Arabidopsis thaliana: one gene and its partner. The protein of the gene in region 1 interacts with the protein of each later gene in a pairwise test. Each region holds a gene or a part of one and is shown in the gene's direction. Other genes may lie near its edges.

Region 1 (7,334 bases):
CTAGTAGCACATACCGTTGATTTCGAGTCTGTCTCATTCCGCAAAGCGCTTGAAGCGGTTTCAACCACACCGAGCGTTGGAAGACCATAATGAATTATGTACTCCGCATCAACAACACCGACATTTTTCTTTCGGTCACCCTATCCGCAACCAAGAACATGTTAGTAAAAACCGTACAATGAAGGAAGTAAGGGCTTATCAAAACAAGTTAGAAGAAGAAACAAACTTGAGCACAATAACCAAGCTGCGTATCCAGACCCCAAGCATGGATCAAATCATTCTGCAACGCAAACGAAAGCATTAAACCCAATCCTCTCGACTCGGGGAACAAAAAACGAATGCTACACAAATGTTACCTGAATCATATACCAAGAACATCTCCATGCAGCTCTAGAGAAAACAGGTGCCATCATTTCCACCCACCTACAGATCCAAGTTACATGTTAACTGGAGAATGAGGTAGAAAGAGAGTTTCAAGAACATTTCACGGAATATGCGAAAAGCGTTTACCCGATGCAAGGAGGATTGGTGCTATGGTCATCACATCGCCCGCTACCTTTGTATTTATACATTCTTCTATGAACTTTTGATTTTTTTCGACGAGCGGTTATAGGATGATGCACTTCTGATTTTGAAGTGTCAAGAGCAGGTTGCGATATCTCAAGCCCCTCTTCTTTGACAATAGATAGATATCTAAAGTAAAACGATTGGAATGAGAAATGAAAAAAGATAAAAAAGAACACAAATTCTATATTTAGTGTGTTACCGTTGAGGATTGAAATGACCAACACCAAGATCTTCGTCCCAAAGAAATATATACTCGTACTCTGCAACTATATCGGGATGCAAGAATCGCTTGGCGAACCACCTTGTGACATTAACAACATTCAAGTATTAGAGAGTATATGATGGTTGACGAAAACAATAACAAGAAGTTCAAGAAAACGGACCATTTTGTTTGATTCATCACGGAAACATGAATCGCATGATTATTCCATGGATACTGCTTCCAGTCATCGACAACACCATCATAATGAAAAAGCATGACCGCGAAATCTCGAGGAGGAAACTGAAGTCACAGCAATTTGTATAACTAATCGAAATAAAAGACGAAAATCTTGCTGATAGAAACAATCAAATGAGAAAACAAAACCTTTTGGATAACTTTGTTAACTAGCTCCTTTTGCTTGATACCGACCGCCATGGCTAACAAACTCATCGAATGGTTAGGCCTTCTCTGAAAGAAATATACAGCAAAAGATTAAGCTACACGAAAAAAAAGCAATGAAACTTTCCAAATCTTTGAGGAATCATGTAACTACTAAATAACCTTTTTTGTGTCATCGTAGTTCCATAGATGTTGTGTTTCCAGGTTCGATGTTTTCTCGATAATTCCTTGCGGTAGTGCTTCAGTACCCACTGGCTTATTGAAATTCTAGTGAAAGATATATATATTTGTAAGTTTAATATCAAAGAATCTCATAAAACAAACCTCAAAGAATATTTCAAAGACAAACCTTGCATGTACTGGTTGTTGTTGCATTCTGCATCTTATCAGTACTGTTATGCATCTTATCAGTGATTTCCCACTTCAGCAACTTCTGCAGATTTATAATCTTATACATCAAATTCAGAAATCTAAACTTATTGTTCTAATGTTGACTATAAAACCAGAATTATTCAACAATGTCATGTTATTTACATGTCGGAAAAAAACACTACTGATTACACAAAAAGACAGCTGAACAATTTAACCAAAATGACAGTATCATAGAACACATATAGATCTTAAGTGATGCCAAATACAAAGAAGTTTACCTCTTTAAAGTCTTTAGCAAGATAAGCATTGCAAATGAAGTAAGCACCACAAATCAGAGCAGTGGTGATTAAGACACTACAGAGACACGATCTATTCATTGAACCCTGCAATTTAGAGAATTGATAATAAGACTTTGAGACGAAAACATAGATCAGAGCCTAGAGACAAGAGGTTTTAAATCACACATCAGAAGAACACTGAGCAAGGTTATAAACTATTAACAATATTTGAATCATCAGTAATAAAAAATCTTATTTGATTCAATAGGACAATGAGGACAATTTGGAAAAGACAATAATTTGACAGATATTTTTTTTAGATTTTCCTCTATGTTTACACATGAGAAGAAGATATAGCTAAAAAATTCCTAAACTATGCACATAATTATCTAACTGAATTCATCATCGTCAACAATTAAACAGCCAATAGACACAAAAATTGGATATATGAATGAAATCAATAAAAAAAGAAGAGACCAAGGAAGAAGAAAATATGTATTCTCACCTGTTTCATGAATTAGATGATTTGTTTTTCTCTGTTTCTGCCTTTTGTGTTTCTCTGAAAATTGAAGCTTTTTTTACCCTCTCAAAAAGGTTTCTTTTAAGACAGAATAAACCCTTTTCGAAAGAGAAGAGGAAGAGACCAAAGTAGACGAAGAAACGAATATCCTGAACTTGGTCGTTTCAAATTCTCTTCTCGAATTTGGAAGCTTTAAACAATAAAGATTCTGTTTTTTATCTTCTTCCGAGTCTAAGAAGAAGCTTTTTATTAGCTCAGTTGCTTCATAAAACCCAGAAACGGTAAGTGATAAAGAAGATTGAAGTCAGTCAAAGAGACACGTTTCAGAGATCGTGTAGCAAAATTCAAGGGTTTTCAGGAGAGAGAGACAACAAATGCAGAGAGGAAAGTGGGAAGTGATGAGACACGTGTTTTACGTTTATTGGTTTTGATATTAAGTCGTGTGTGTACTGTATATTTGTCTCTCGCTTAGGAATTTGAAACCGACCGAGATATTATTTGTTGTCGTCATAATTACCAGATCAGATTATAAACTTTTAATTCTCTTTACCAAAATAAATAAAAAAGAGAACTTTATCTGATTTTTTTTCCGGCGGGAGATCTCTGTGTGAAGCTTCTTCTCTTTCTCCATCGCCGACAATGTTTTCGTTATCGTTAATCCAACCGCGTCTCCGGATTTCAGAGATTCCGGTGACTCAATCCTACAAATCTCCGACGATATGTTACAGTAGCGATTCAAGAACTAAGCGAGAGGAACAGAGACACGTGAGATTACCTGGGTTTCGATTAGTTTCTGGAAAGAGAGCATCTTTCGATTCGGGTTTTAGTGGTTTCAAAGGAGAGAATGTGAATCAGGATGATTCGTCTTCTTTCGATAGCGAAAGAGTTGATTATGCTCTGTTAGCGGAGTGGCTACAGTCTTCTAATGGGATGCGACTCATTAAAAGGATCCATGCGATGGCGTTGAAGTGTTTTGATGATCAAGTTATCTATTTTGGGAACAATTTGATTAGTTCTTGTGTTAGACTTGGTGATTTGGTTTATGCACGTAAAGTGTTCGACAGTATGCCTGAGAAAAATACTGTTACTTGGACTGCTATGATTGATGGGTATTTGAAGTATGGTCTTGAGGATGAGGCTTTTGCACTGTTTGAGGATTATGTGAAGCATGGAATACGTTTTACGAACGAGAGGATGTTTGTGTGTTTGTTGAATCTGTGTAGTAGGAGAGCAGAGTTTGAGTTAGGGAGACAAGTTCATGGTAATATGGTGAAAGTTGGAGTGGGGAATCTCATTGTGGAGAGTTCTCTTGTTTATTTTTATGCGCAATGCGGTGAATTGACAAGTGCGTTACGAGCTTTTGATATGATGGAGGAGAAAGATGTGATATCTTGGACTGCTGTTATATCGGCGTGTTCGAGAAAAGGGCATGGAATTAAAGCTATAGGCATGTTTATCGGAATGTTGAATCACTGGTTTTTGCCTAACGAGTTTACGGTGTGCAGTATTTTGAAGGCTTGTAGTGAGGAGAAAGCGTTAAGATTCGGAAGGCAAGTACACAGCTTGGTTGTTAAGAGGATGATAAAGACAGATGTTTTTGTGGGAACTTCGCTGATGGACATGTATGCTAAGTGTGGGGAGATTTCTGATTGCAGAAAAGTGTTTGATGGAATGAGTAATAGAAACACGGTCACATGGACTTCGATTATAGCTGCTCATGCTCGGGAAGGTTTTGGTGAGGAAGCTATCAGCCTCTTCCGGATAATGAAGAGGCGGCATTTGATTGCTAACAATTTGACAGTAGTAAGCATTCTTAGAGCGTGTGGATCTGTTGGAGCTTTATTGTTGGGGAAGGAACTTCATGCACAGATTATCAAGAATTCGATCGAAAAGAATGTCTATATAGGAAGTACTTTGGTGTGGCTGTATTGTAAATGCGGAGAATCTCGTGACGCTTTCAATGTTCTCCAGCAATTGCCATCTAGAGATGTGGTTTCATGGACCGCTATGATCTCTGGATGTTCGAGCTTAGGACATGAATCGGAAGCGCTAGACTTCTTGAAAGAGATGATTCAAGAAGGTGTAGAGCCAAACCCATTTACATACTCCTCGGCTTTAAAAGCTTGTGCGAATTCAGAATCTCTTCTTATCGGTAGATCAATCCATTCCATTGCAAAGAAGAATCATGCTCTATCAAATGTCTTTGTGGGAAGTGCTTTGATTCACATGTATGCAAAATGTGGATTTGTCTCGGAAGCTTTTCGGGTTTTTGACAGTATGCCTGAGAAGAACTTGGTTTCATGGAAGGCGATGATAATGGGTTATGCGAGGAATGGGTTTTGCAGGGAAGCATTGAAGCTAATGTATAGAATGGAGGCAGAGGGATTTGAAGTTGATGATTATATATTTGCAACAATTCTCTCTACTTGTGGAGATATTGAGCTCGATGAAGCTGTTGAATCTTCTGCAACTTGTTACTTGGAGACATCTTGATCTTTCTTCTTTAGAATCTCTTTTTTTTTCAAGTTCTTTCTTATATGATAAAGTTTATGAAAAAAAAGATGCGTTCCACAATAGCACCAAATGTACAAATTTCATGTCGAATATTTCTTCTTTGCAATTAGCCAATGCAAGAATTTTAATGATGACCAATTATATCTATTAAGAAAAAAGTAGATTGATATATTTCAATTTAAGACTTAAGAACCTAGTTTTAATGGGCTTTTTCAAAATAGATTTATGGGCCTTAGTGACACATTTCCATTTACAGCTTGAATGAATCCATTTTTTTTCTTTGACGACTAAAATAAAAGATTCAGTTGAGGTGCCAATAAAGTGTGATTTTTTTTTGTAAGGTTGGATCTTGTTTACTAATAATTTGAACGCACTAGTTAAGTAATACTAGTATTTAATCAAATTTCTAAGTTGAATCTTTAAACAAACATTTTTAATGATAAAAATATGCTATATATAGACTATATGAAGTCCCTTTACTTTTTTTAAAAATGATTTACAATTTCAATTGAGGTCATGATCATCTCTTTCTTGAATCAGAATGCACACTATAGGTCCCCACTTTGGCACAATGAACCGAGTTGCTGCTTCCAAGTTTATGGCCTTTTGATGGTTTTATATTCTCATCGTAATTAAAGCTTATTCTTTCCATCTTATATAATGCTTAGATAATCTTAAGTGCCTGGATAAGACCCTTTGAATTTGTGTTGATTAATGACTATTTCGATACGTATCTATACTGGTTAATAGACGAAAATTTTATATTATCAACTACCTGCCTCTTCATAGTACTGTTTTATTCTAGTGAGAAAACATTTTGTCTTTTGAATGATGTAAAATGCGTAAACTATTTTATTTTATATGTTATGCCTTATTTTTAGTATGATTGTACACACAAGTTTATACCCTATAAAGTATATACTATAAAGGTGCCTACTAATCTTTATGCTTAGTAGTATGTATATTTGATTTTTGTTTAAAAACTAAAGCTAAACAAATTGGTGTCAACACTATCATATTATATACTTGATATGGTGTTAATTTTAAAAAAAAAAATCTCAAGATTTATATACAAATAAATTAGGATAGATAACTCATTGAAATAATTTAATTTATCTCGATAACCTCCTCTCATTTTCTCTTTGCGATAGAAATTTGTGAAAATTAGTTTTGAAAATTGCCTAAATAAACGAGTTTCAAAAAAAGATGGTCACAATCTAAAACACGTTTGGTTATGCTTACAATGATGTTTGTATACAATATGCTTTGTAAGAAACATCAGTTTTTAAATTTTTATAAAACTTCATAAAATTTCTTTAAAACACTTAAAAAATATATTTGAAAATATCTTTCGAAAATTTCATGTTTTCCGTCAATACAATAAGTCATTATTGTAATATTATCTCATATTGGAATTGAAGATAATTCAATATTTGTCAATTGGTTTTTGGGTTAGAAACTCTTAATTATCCGGCAAAGATTTTCTTCGTCTATGGACAATCATTTTTTTTGTTAAATCAGGAATATTTTGTATAAAAAAAATATATGAAAGTGCTAGTTCTTGAAAAGCAATATATTTTGTTCATTACCTCATTGCCGCATTTATATAAAATCCAAATCGTGCGTATGTGTACTATAATGATAAGAAGATCACGATGCTTATAATATCTTTTGCATGATATTAATCAATATTAAACAGAAAAGGAAAAGCTACTATCATTTAGAAGAGGGTCCATTTTGGTCGTGTGATAAGTCATTAGGTTTTGGCGTAACTCATAAAAATACGATTTGCTTTTAACGAAAAAAGATTGCTTCACGCTTGCCGTCTTTTGTTCGTCGATAAAAAAGATTTTATTATATATATGATGCCATTTACAGCCGAATAATCCTCCATTTTGGTCTTCACGTTCTTTAACTTTTAGGTCGATGCTTTTTTCGTTATCTTATTATATGTGTTTGTGTATAATGTTCAATTGTTTAATTAGTTTACTTTTGATATGCATATGATTTTCATCTGAATCTGTCTTTCTCACTCATGAGTCATCATGACATTTCATCCATGGGACGATCGTAGTACTATTAGGTGTTTGGTTTACTGTAAAAGCATATTTAGTTAAAGATTTCTGATAGATTATTTTGCAACTCTTTCTTATAAAAATCGATGGAGCAAACGCTTTAAGTTAAGTAGGCATACATATAATCAACATAGACATGTTGAATTTTGAAAATTTCAAGTTTACACAGTTTGATTAAATATGTAAACCGTAAACTGCATCGATTCATAGATATCAATATTTTACAATGCTTTACCTAAAAAAAAAAAAAAAAACGAAGTAACATGGTTTCGACGACCAAATAACTGAATAAGTCATACGGGATAACGATCAATTTAAAACACAAGTAATTATGGGACGAAATCTTATATATGTATGCAATTGACCATGTATCTAGATCGACCACATCTAAATTGTACGTTCCATTC
Region 2 (7,756 bases), on another chromosome or scaffold:
AAGACTCAAAAGAAGCTTTCGCCACGTTCCACCAATGAATGTTCGACACGTATCGTCGAGTTTCTTTTTCTTTATGCTTACGTCATCGCACACGTCTATCTTCTTTTGGTTAAAGTGATAAAAAGGAAAGTCGTAAATGGCTTCGTCACTGAGTCTTTCCTACTATTTTAACCCCATTAGTGACACTCCTTTCTTCTCCACTACACTCCATTTCTCTTTCTTCTTGACTCGACCATCGTTTCTCTAATCTCCGCAACTATGGCTTCATTTACGAAAACGGTGTGTGGGGTTTCACGATCCCGAGATCATACTTTTTTCCCTCCTCGTACGTAACGATTTTTTTTTGTGATTATTAATCCAAGGTTTTTTGGCGTCTCTTTTAGGTTTTGATCCCTATTGCGCACGGTACGGAGCCTCTAGAAGCGGTGGCGATGATTACCGTGTTGCGTCGAGGTGGTGCTGACGTGACGGTGGCGTCTGTTGAGACTCAGGTTGGCGTTGATGCTTGTCATGGCATCAAGATGGTCGCTGATACTCTTCTCTCTGATATTACCGACTCTGTTTTCGACCTTATTGTGCTCCCCGTAAGTCTCTCTGCTGATTTAACATTGTCCATTTGTTTTGTTTCTTTGTGTGTAATCTAAGAACTAAGGACAGCCAATAAGTGGATCGATCAATTATCAATTAGCTCACTTAACTAAAGTTTCGAAAGTGATGTTTATAGTTCCTACTAAGAACGATGGTTTTTAGATGTATCTGTTGCAACTTTTGTTCTCTGAAACAACTTCATAGATTCTTGTTTTCTGAAAGATTTCATAATTGTGTTGCTGATATACTTTTTGATATGATTGGGAAAAGGGAGGGCTTCCCGGTGGCGAGACTCTTAAAAACTGTAAATCTTTAGAGAACATGGTCAAGAAACAAGACTCTGATGGCCGACTTAACGCAGCTATATGTTGTGCTCCTGCCTTGGCTCTTGGTACTTGGGGTCTACTAGAAGGCAAGAAAGTAAGTCAGAAGTGATCAGTATATTTCCAAGGGCGTTTATTTATCTTTTTTTCAGGCCTTGTAATGTCTTGTTATTACATGGGGTTTCTTGCAGGCAACGGGTTACCCTGTTTTTATGGAGAAACTTGCGGCTACTTGTGCAACTGCTGTTGAGTCAAGAGTGCAAATTGATGGAAGAATAGTGACCAGTCGTGGACCAGGAACCACCATTGAATTCTCCATCACGCTTATAGAGCAGTTGTTTGGGAAAGAAAAAGCTGATGAAGTCTCCAGTATCTTGGTATGTTTTGTCTCTGCCTCTTTTATCAACCGCTGTGGTACGTGTTCATGTCACCTCCTCGTAGACTTACTTGTTATCCTTTTGAAATCAGCTGCTTCGTCCTAACCCTGGTGAGGAGTTTACTTTTACTGAGCTTAACCAAACAAACTGGTCATTTGAAGATACACCACAGGTAAATGTTCAGTTGCCTCTCCACTTGGCCCTTTTAACATTTTTCCAAGACAGGCTTTGTTTGATCCGTTATACAGATTCCTAGGAACATGCTGTGTTGTAAAGCTTTTGTCTTTCTTGATCAATAGTCTTTTATGAGTCAGAGAGATAATGTTTTCCCTTTTCAGATTCTCGTACCCATTGCAGAGGAGTCAGAGGAAATTGAAGCTATAGCGCTTGTAGATATCCTGAGGCGGGCAAAAGCAAATGTAGTGATTGCTGCAGTTGGTAACAGTTTGGAAGTTGAAGGATCTCGCAAAGCTAAGCTAGTAGCAGAAGTTCTTCTTGATGAGGTTGCAGAGAAGTCGTTTGATCTGATTGTGTTACCTGTGAGTATTGCTAACTTCCAAAATGTGAATATACTATTTAGTCTTAAATTAAATTTTAATATTCTATGATGACAAATAACCAAAAACATAATCCAACTTCTTTGATGAACTACAGGGCGGTCTTAACGGTGCTCAAAGATTCGCAAGCTGCGAGAAGCTAGTTAATATGTTAAGGAAACAGGCAGAAGCAAACAAACCATATGGAGGAATCTGCGCATCGCCTGCTTACGTCTTCGAGCCTAATGGTTTACTCAAGGTGCATAAATCAAACAGTACTAGAATTGTAGTTTCTTGTTCTATCTTTTAAGTCATTAAACTGAGATATAAGAGACATGTTTTGTATAGGGTAAGAAGGCTACTACTCACCCAGTGGTGAGCGACAAACTTTCGGACAAGAGTCACATTGAGCACAGAGTCGTGGTAGATGGAAATGTCATAACAAGCAGAGCTCCAGGGACTGCAATGGAGTTTTCACTTGCCATTGTCGAAAAGTTTTACGGGCGAGAGAAAGCTCTTCAGCTCGGAAAGGCAACACTTGTGTGATTTCAAACAATGAAAGTATGAGAGTGGCTTGAATAAAAAGAAGGCTTTGCCTTTTAGTTATCTCTCTCCATTAGTAATTACTTACTTTATGATATATGACATATGAGCTTGGCTTAGTGATTGGTGTGTAACTTTATGCCTTTATAAATGAATAAACGAGATTTTTCTATGTATGTTGCCGATATTTTCTTTAAACCTCTGCAAGAGCTAGAGGGTGTGCTGGAGAAAAAAATTATTTTATGGAGAAAGATATTTTAGTCACACATTTTCACCAAATTGACCTTACAATAACTCTAAAATACGAATTTGCCCCTATGTTTAGCTTTGGAATATTTCATATTTGTAAACCATTTAATAATATGATTATTACCAATTTAGTGAAAATAAAATCTTCAGTCTTCTCTTCTTGTATAAAAATAGCTTTTTTATCATTTGAAAACAGAGTAATGTCACTAATTTCTTGGCGAAAATGTGTTTATTTGTAACTTAAGGTAAAATAGGGGCAATTTTGTTGAATCTGATAAGATCAGGGGGTAGTACCGTAGATTTCGCTGTCCAGTTCAGTTATGAAATACCTAAAATGCCCTCGACTCATAATCTACTATTAAACCCTCATAAAACCCTTGATTTCATTTCTAGCTCATCTGTTTTCACACTCTCTCCTAGGGTTTTATCTGCGAAGCCCAATCTAGAGCTTCCATGGCGACGCATACCATTTCTCGATCCATTCTTTGCCGACCGGCGAAATCTCTTTCGTTTCTGTTCACGCGATCCTTTGCTTCATCTGCTCCTCTCGCCAAATCTCCGGCGTCTTCTCTGCTCAGCCGGTCCCGTCCTCTGGTCGCCGCTTTTTCCTCCGTTTTCCGTGGCGGCCTTGTGTCTGTCAAAGGTCTCTCGACGCAGGCTACATCGTCTTCTCTGAACGACCCGAATCCCAACTGGTCGAACAGGCCACCTAAGGAGACGATCCTGCTCGATGGTTGCGATTTCGAGCACTGGCTTGTCGTCGTGGAGCCACCTCAGGGTGAGCCTACTAGAGATGAAATCATTGATAGCTACATCAAAACCCTAGCTCAGATTGTTGGCAGGTAAATCCCCAATTCAAAACTCTCTCTCTCTCTCTCTCTCTCTGTGTATGTTCTTCTAGGGATTTTAGGTTAAATAAGTGAGAAATCCACTACTGTGTATGACGGATCTGTGTGTTTACTTAGATCATTTTTGGAGCTGTAACATGATATATCTCGTTTTGGACATTTCAGTGAAGACGAAGCTAGGATGAAGATCTACTCGGTTTCAACTAGGTGCTACTATGCTTTTGGGGCACTTGTGTCAGAAGATCTTTCTCACAAGTTAAAAGGTTAACTCTTGCCTTTGTTGGGTTTTAGTTTTCCTCATTTCTGTGTTATAATCTGCCTTCTAACTTTCTTCTGTAACTCTCCAGAGTTGTCAAATGTGCGCTGGGTTCTTCCTGACTCTTACCTGGATGTGAGGAACAAAGACTATGGAGGTAGGCTTAAGTGTATTATCTGTATCATAACCTGGGTTTGAAATTGGGGTAGTTGCTTTGCTCGTCCATTATACTTTTGCTGGGTTTGAAATTTTCAAGGGAAACTACCTGTTGCTAGTCTTCGCTCTGTGGACTCGTTACTTGCTCCATGCTTTTGTGTTAGATTGACACATGGGGCGACTTCTATTTATAGTTAATTAACATTGTGGGTGCATCTGTTAGATTTGATTTAGTGATATCTATTGTGAGACTGGTGTTGTAGAAGTCGCAGTGATGTTGCTTTGGTGAGAGTTTAAATCTTTCTGGTGATCCTATTAGAGAGTTAGTTTGATGCGTTTTTGTATATATTGACTTTCAGGGGAACCTTTCATCGATGGGAAGGCTGTTCCTTATGATCCTAAGTACCACGAGGAGTGGATAAGGAACAATGCTAGAGCAAATGAAAGGAACAGACGCAATGACCGTCCTCGCAACAATGATAGAAGCAGAAACTTTGAGAGGAGAAGAGAGAACATGGCAGGAGGCCCTCCTCCTCAACGTCCTCCCATGGGAGGCCCTCCTCCTCCTCCGCACATCGGTGGCTCTGCACCTCCTCCGCCTCATATGGGTGGCTCTGCACCTCCTCCACCTCACATGGGGCAGAACTATGGACCACCACCACCAAACAACATGGGAGGACCAAGGCATCCACCACCTTATGGAGCACCACCGCAAAACAACATGGGAGGACCGAGGCCACCTCAGAACTATGGAGGAACACCACCTCCCAACTATGGAGGAGCACCACCAGCAAACAACATGGGAGGAGCACCACCACCAAACTATGGAGGAGGACCACCACCTCAATATGGAGCAGTACCACCACCTCAATACGGAGGAGCACCCCCACAGAACAACAACTACCAGCAGCAGGGTAGTGGAATGCAGCAGCCACAGTACCAGAACAACTACCCACCTAACCGGGATGGCAGTGGCAACCCCTACCAGGGTTAAAGCAGTTGAAGCAGTCGTGGGTTTCCTTTTTAATCATGCATTCTGGGCTGTGTATAGATAATTTGAGGAAGAGAGAGTGCAGTAGCAAGACTTTAAAACTCCTTTTATCTCGAGTGTTTATCAGTCTGGGATTATGTGAGAGAGAATAGCCTAAGTTACTGTGGCATGGTTAGAACTTTTCACTCTTGCGTTTCTTTTTAGTAGTTTATATCCTAAATCGATCTCAAGTTCTTCCTTGTGATGCTTGCTACTCTTATGTCCACTCCTGGTTCTGCATTAAACGGGATTTAGTAACATGTCTCCCACAGGCTATTGTTTTGTGTCTTTCTTTGGCTTCTTCCTAGTCTTAATTTCTAATTCCCCAATCATGTTTACATGGGAATGGGATACTCATATTATAACAGGAAGAATGACAAATGTCATCAATATCATATTTCTTTCGACAAACTTGACAGAACACACAATTTGATGATGAGAGAGAGAAGCGGGTGTGAAGTAACAAGATGGGCTTTGTGTTCTTTATCCCGGCCCATCATTCTAAATTTCAGCCCAAAATGGAAAATCTCGTAACCGTATAAAGCCCTCGCTTCCCTCATATGTTTTTCCGCCGTCACATATTTTCCCCTCTTTTTTTTCGTGTCAGATTCGCTTTCTCTACGGCTGGACTAGAAGGATTAGGGATTTACCGGTGAAAGAATAACTCCAGAGATAAATCTGTAACCATGGATATGATGAAGAAGCGTAAGCTCGATGAGAACGGTAACGGACTCAATACCAACGGTGGCGGAACCATTGGTCCAACTCGATTGTCGCCGCAAGACGCGAGGAAGATTATCGAGCGATTCACCACTGATCAGCTGCTCGACTTATTGCAAGAGGCTATCGTACGCCATCCCGACGTGCTTGAATCTGTCCGATTAACCGCCGACTCTGATATCTCGCAGCGGAAGCTATTCATCCGTGGTCTCGCGGCGGATACTACTACGGAAGGTCTCCGTTCGCTTTTTTCCAGTTACGGAGATCTAGAAGAAGCTATTGTGATCCTTGACAAGGTCACTGGGAAATCGAAAGGGTATGGTTTCGTCACTTTTATGCACGTTGATGGAGCTTTACTAGCTCTGAAAGAACCATCTAAGAAAATTGATGGGCGTGTTACAGTAACGCAGCTCGCGGCATCTGGAAATCAAGGTACGGGTTCCCAGATTGCAGATATATCAATGAGGAAGATCTATGTGGCGAATGTTCCTTTTGATATGCCGGCGGATAGGCTATTGAATCACTTTATGGCTTATGGAGATGTTGAGGAAGGTCCTTTGGGTTTTGATAAGGTTACTGGTAAATCTAGAGGCTTTGCATTGTTTGTCTACAAGACAGCGGAAGGTGCGCAGGCTGCTCTTGCTGATCCGGTGAAGGTGATTGATGGAAAACATTTGAATTGTAAGTTGGCTGTTGATGGTAAGAAAGGAGGGAAGCCTGGAATGCCACAAGCTCAAGATGGTGGTTCTGGTCATGGACACGTTCATGGTGAGGGAATGGGAATGGTGCGTCCTGCAGGACCTTATGGTGCAGCTGGTGGTATCAGTGCTTATGGTGGGTACTCTGGAGGACCACCAGCGCATCACATGAATTCCACACACTCCTCAATGGGTGTTGGTTCTGCTGGGTATGGTGGACACTATGGTGGATATGGAGGTCCAGGTGGTACTGGCGTCTACGGTGGACTTGGCGGTGGGTATGGTGGGCCTGGTACTGGAAGTGGGCAGTATAGAATGCCACCAAGTTCGATGCCTGGTGGTGGTGGTTATCCCGAGAGTGGGCATTACGGTCTTTCATCATCTGCTGGGTATCCTGGACAGCATCATCAGGCTGTTGGAACGTCCCCTGTGCCAAGAGTTCCTCATGGCGGAATGTACCCCAACGGTCCACCAAACTACTGAAAAGGTGCGGTTGTTCTCCCTTGTATATTTTGGGGTTTAAGAGTGTGTTGCATTATCATGATTCATTGCATAGTTATATATTCTTCCCTACTTTGTGGCATATTGTTTTTGCAGGTTGTGCGTAATTTTCTTGCTAGAAATTCTCTGCTATTCTTTTCCCTGTGTCTCTTTTAGTCTATTTGCTTGTTAGTACTGTGTTAGCTACTTGATGCAATGCCTTTAGTCGATGTTTTTTTGCTTGTGTTCATTCCTTTATTTTAACGCATGAAAGATAGCCAGAAAAGTGGCACCTTGAACCCTTTTATGGGGAATGTTTGTGGCATTCTTTCATGCAGTTTTTCTGTTTGTCTTTAAGCTGCTAGTCTGTGCACCATGCTTTGTCTCTCTATCATTTACTTTTTGTAGTAATGAGAGTACGCATGTGATCGTTCCATCTTGAGTCCTTGTTTTCCTTCTCAGTATTTAATCTTCTTCTGAGGATAGCATGAGGTTGATTTCTTTGATAATGCTAATGACCAAATTGAGTTGTGAATGGGTGTTGATTCAGGTTTGTGACAGCATATTGGGTGAAGATGCTTTTTGTGCTTAGTGGTGATTACCTGATTGCAGCTCTTTAATCTCTGGAATGATGAATGTATAGCTGCTTTGACCTATCTGCACTTGACCTGAATGTGCTTTGGTTTCTATAATGAATGATTAGACTAGGATATATTTATGTACTTTTAAATATAGACATACTCGGCAAATGAGTTTTGTTGGTCAGATTAGTGAGTCTTCAATAATATGTTGTATTTTCTCCTACATTGTTTTCTGGTTTATGTCCAGCCACTCTATTGGGCTTCCTGATTGGTGGTTATATTTCTTGAACTTTGATACTTAAATGTTTGTGACTTTTGGATATCTAAACCTTGCTGATTGGTGGTTATATTTGTGACTTTTGAGGACATCC

What was found. The genes of interacting proteins can lie anywhere in the genome.
Region 2: the proteins of AT4G18520 (region 1) and RIP1 interact in a two-hybrid assay, tested with the Arabidopsis thaliana proteins (one study listed by BioGRID).

The regions. Positions count from the first base shown.
Region 1 is NC_003075.7:10,212,747-10,220,080, reverse strand, and holds AT4G18520 (Pentatricopeptide repeat (PPR) superfamily protein), read left to right. Parts: upstream 1-2,866; 5' UTR 2,867-2,977; coding exon 2,978-4,831; 3' UTR 4,832-4,985; downstream 4,986-7,334. Other genes in the region: AT4G18530 (lysine ketoglutarate reductase trans-splicing-like protein, putative (DUF707)), read right to left, coding at 15-140, 227-280, 357-423, 511-693, 767-868, 951-1,069, 1,154-1,237, 1,331-1,435 and 3 more. UniProt on the Arabidopsis thaliana protein: Required for proper chloroplast development. Involved in the regulation of plastid gene expression probably through regulation of plastid-encoded polymerase (PEP) dependent chloroplast transcription.
Region 2 is NC_003074.8:5,047,252-5,055,007, forward strand, and holds RIP1 (cobalt ion binding protein), read left to right. Parts: upstream 1-2,943; 5' UTR 2,944-3,069; coding exon 3,070-3,458; intron 3,459-3,629; coding exon 3,630-3,727; intron 3,728-3,811; coding exon 3,812-3,877; intron 3,878-4,235; coding exon 4,236-4,870; 3' UTR 4,871-5,204; downstream 5,205-7,756. Other genes in the region: DJ1A (Class I glutamine amidotransferase-like superfamily protein), read left to right, coding at 259-279, 384-584, 859-1,008, 1,103-1,288, 1,380-1,460, 1,627-1,827, 1,943-2,083, 2,173-2,370; AT3G15010 (RNA-binding (RRM/RBD/RNP motifs) family protein), read left to right, coding at 5,593-6,807. UniProt on the Arabidopsis thaliana protein: Involved in organellar RNA editing. Required for the processing of numerous RNA editing sites in mitochondria and plastids. Binds to the plastid RARE1 factor, a pentatricopeptide repeat-containing protein involved in RNA editing.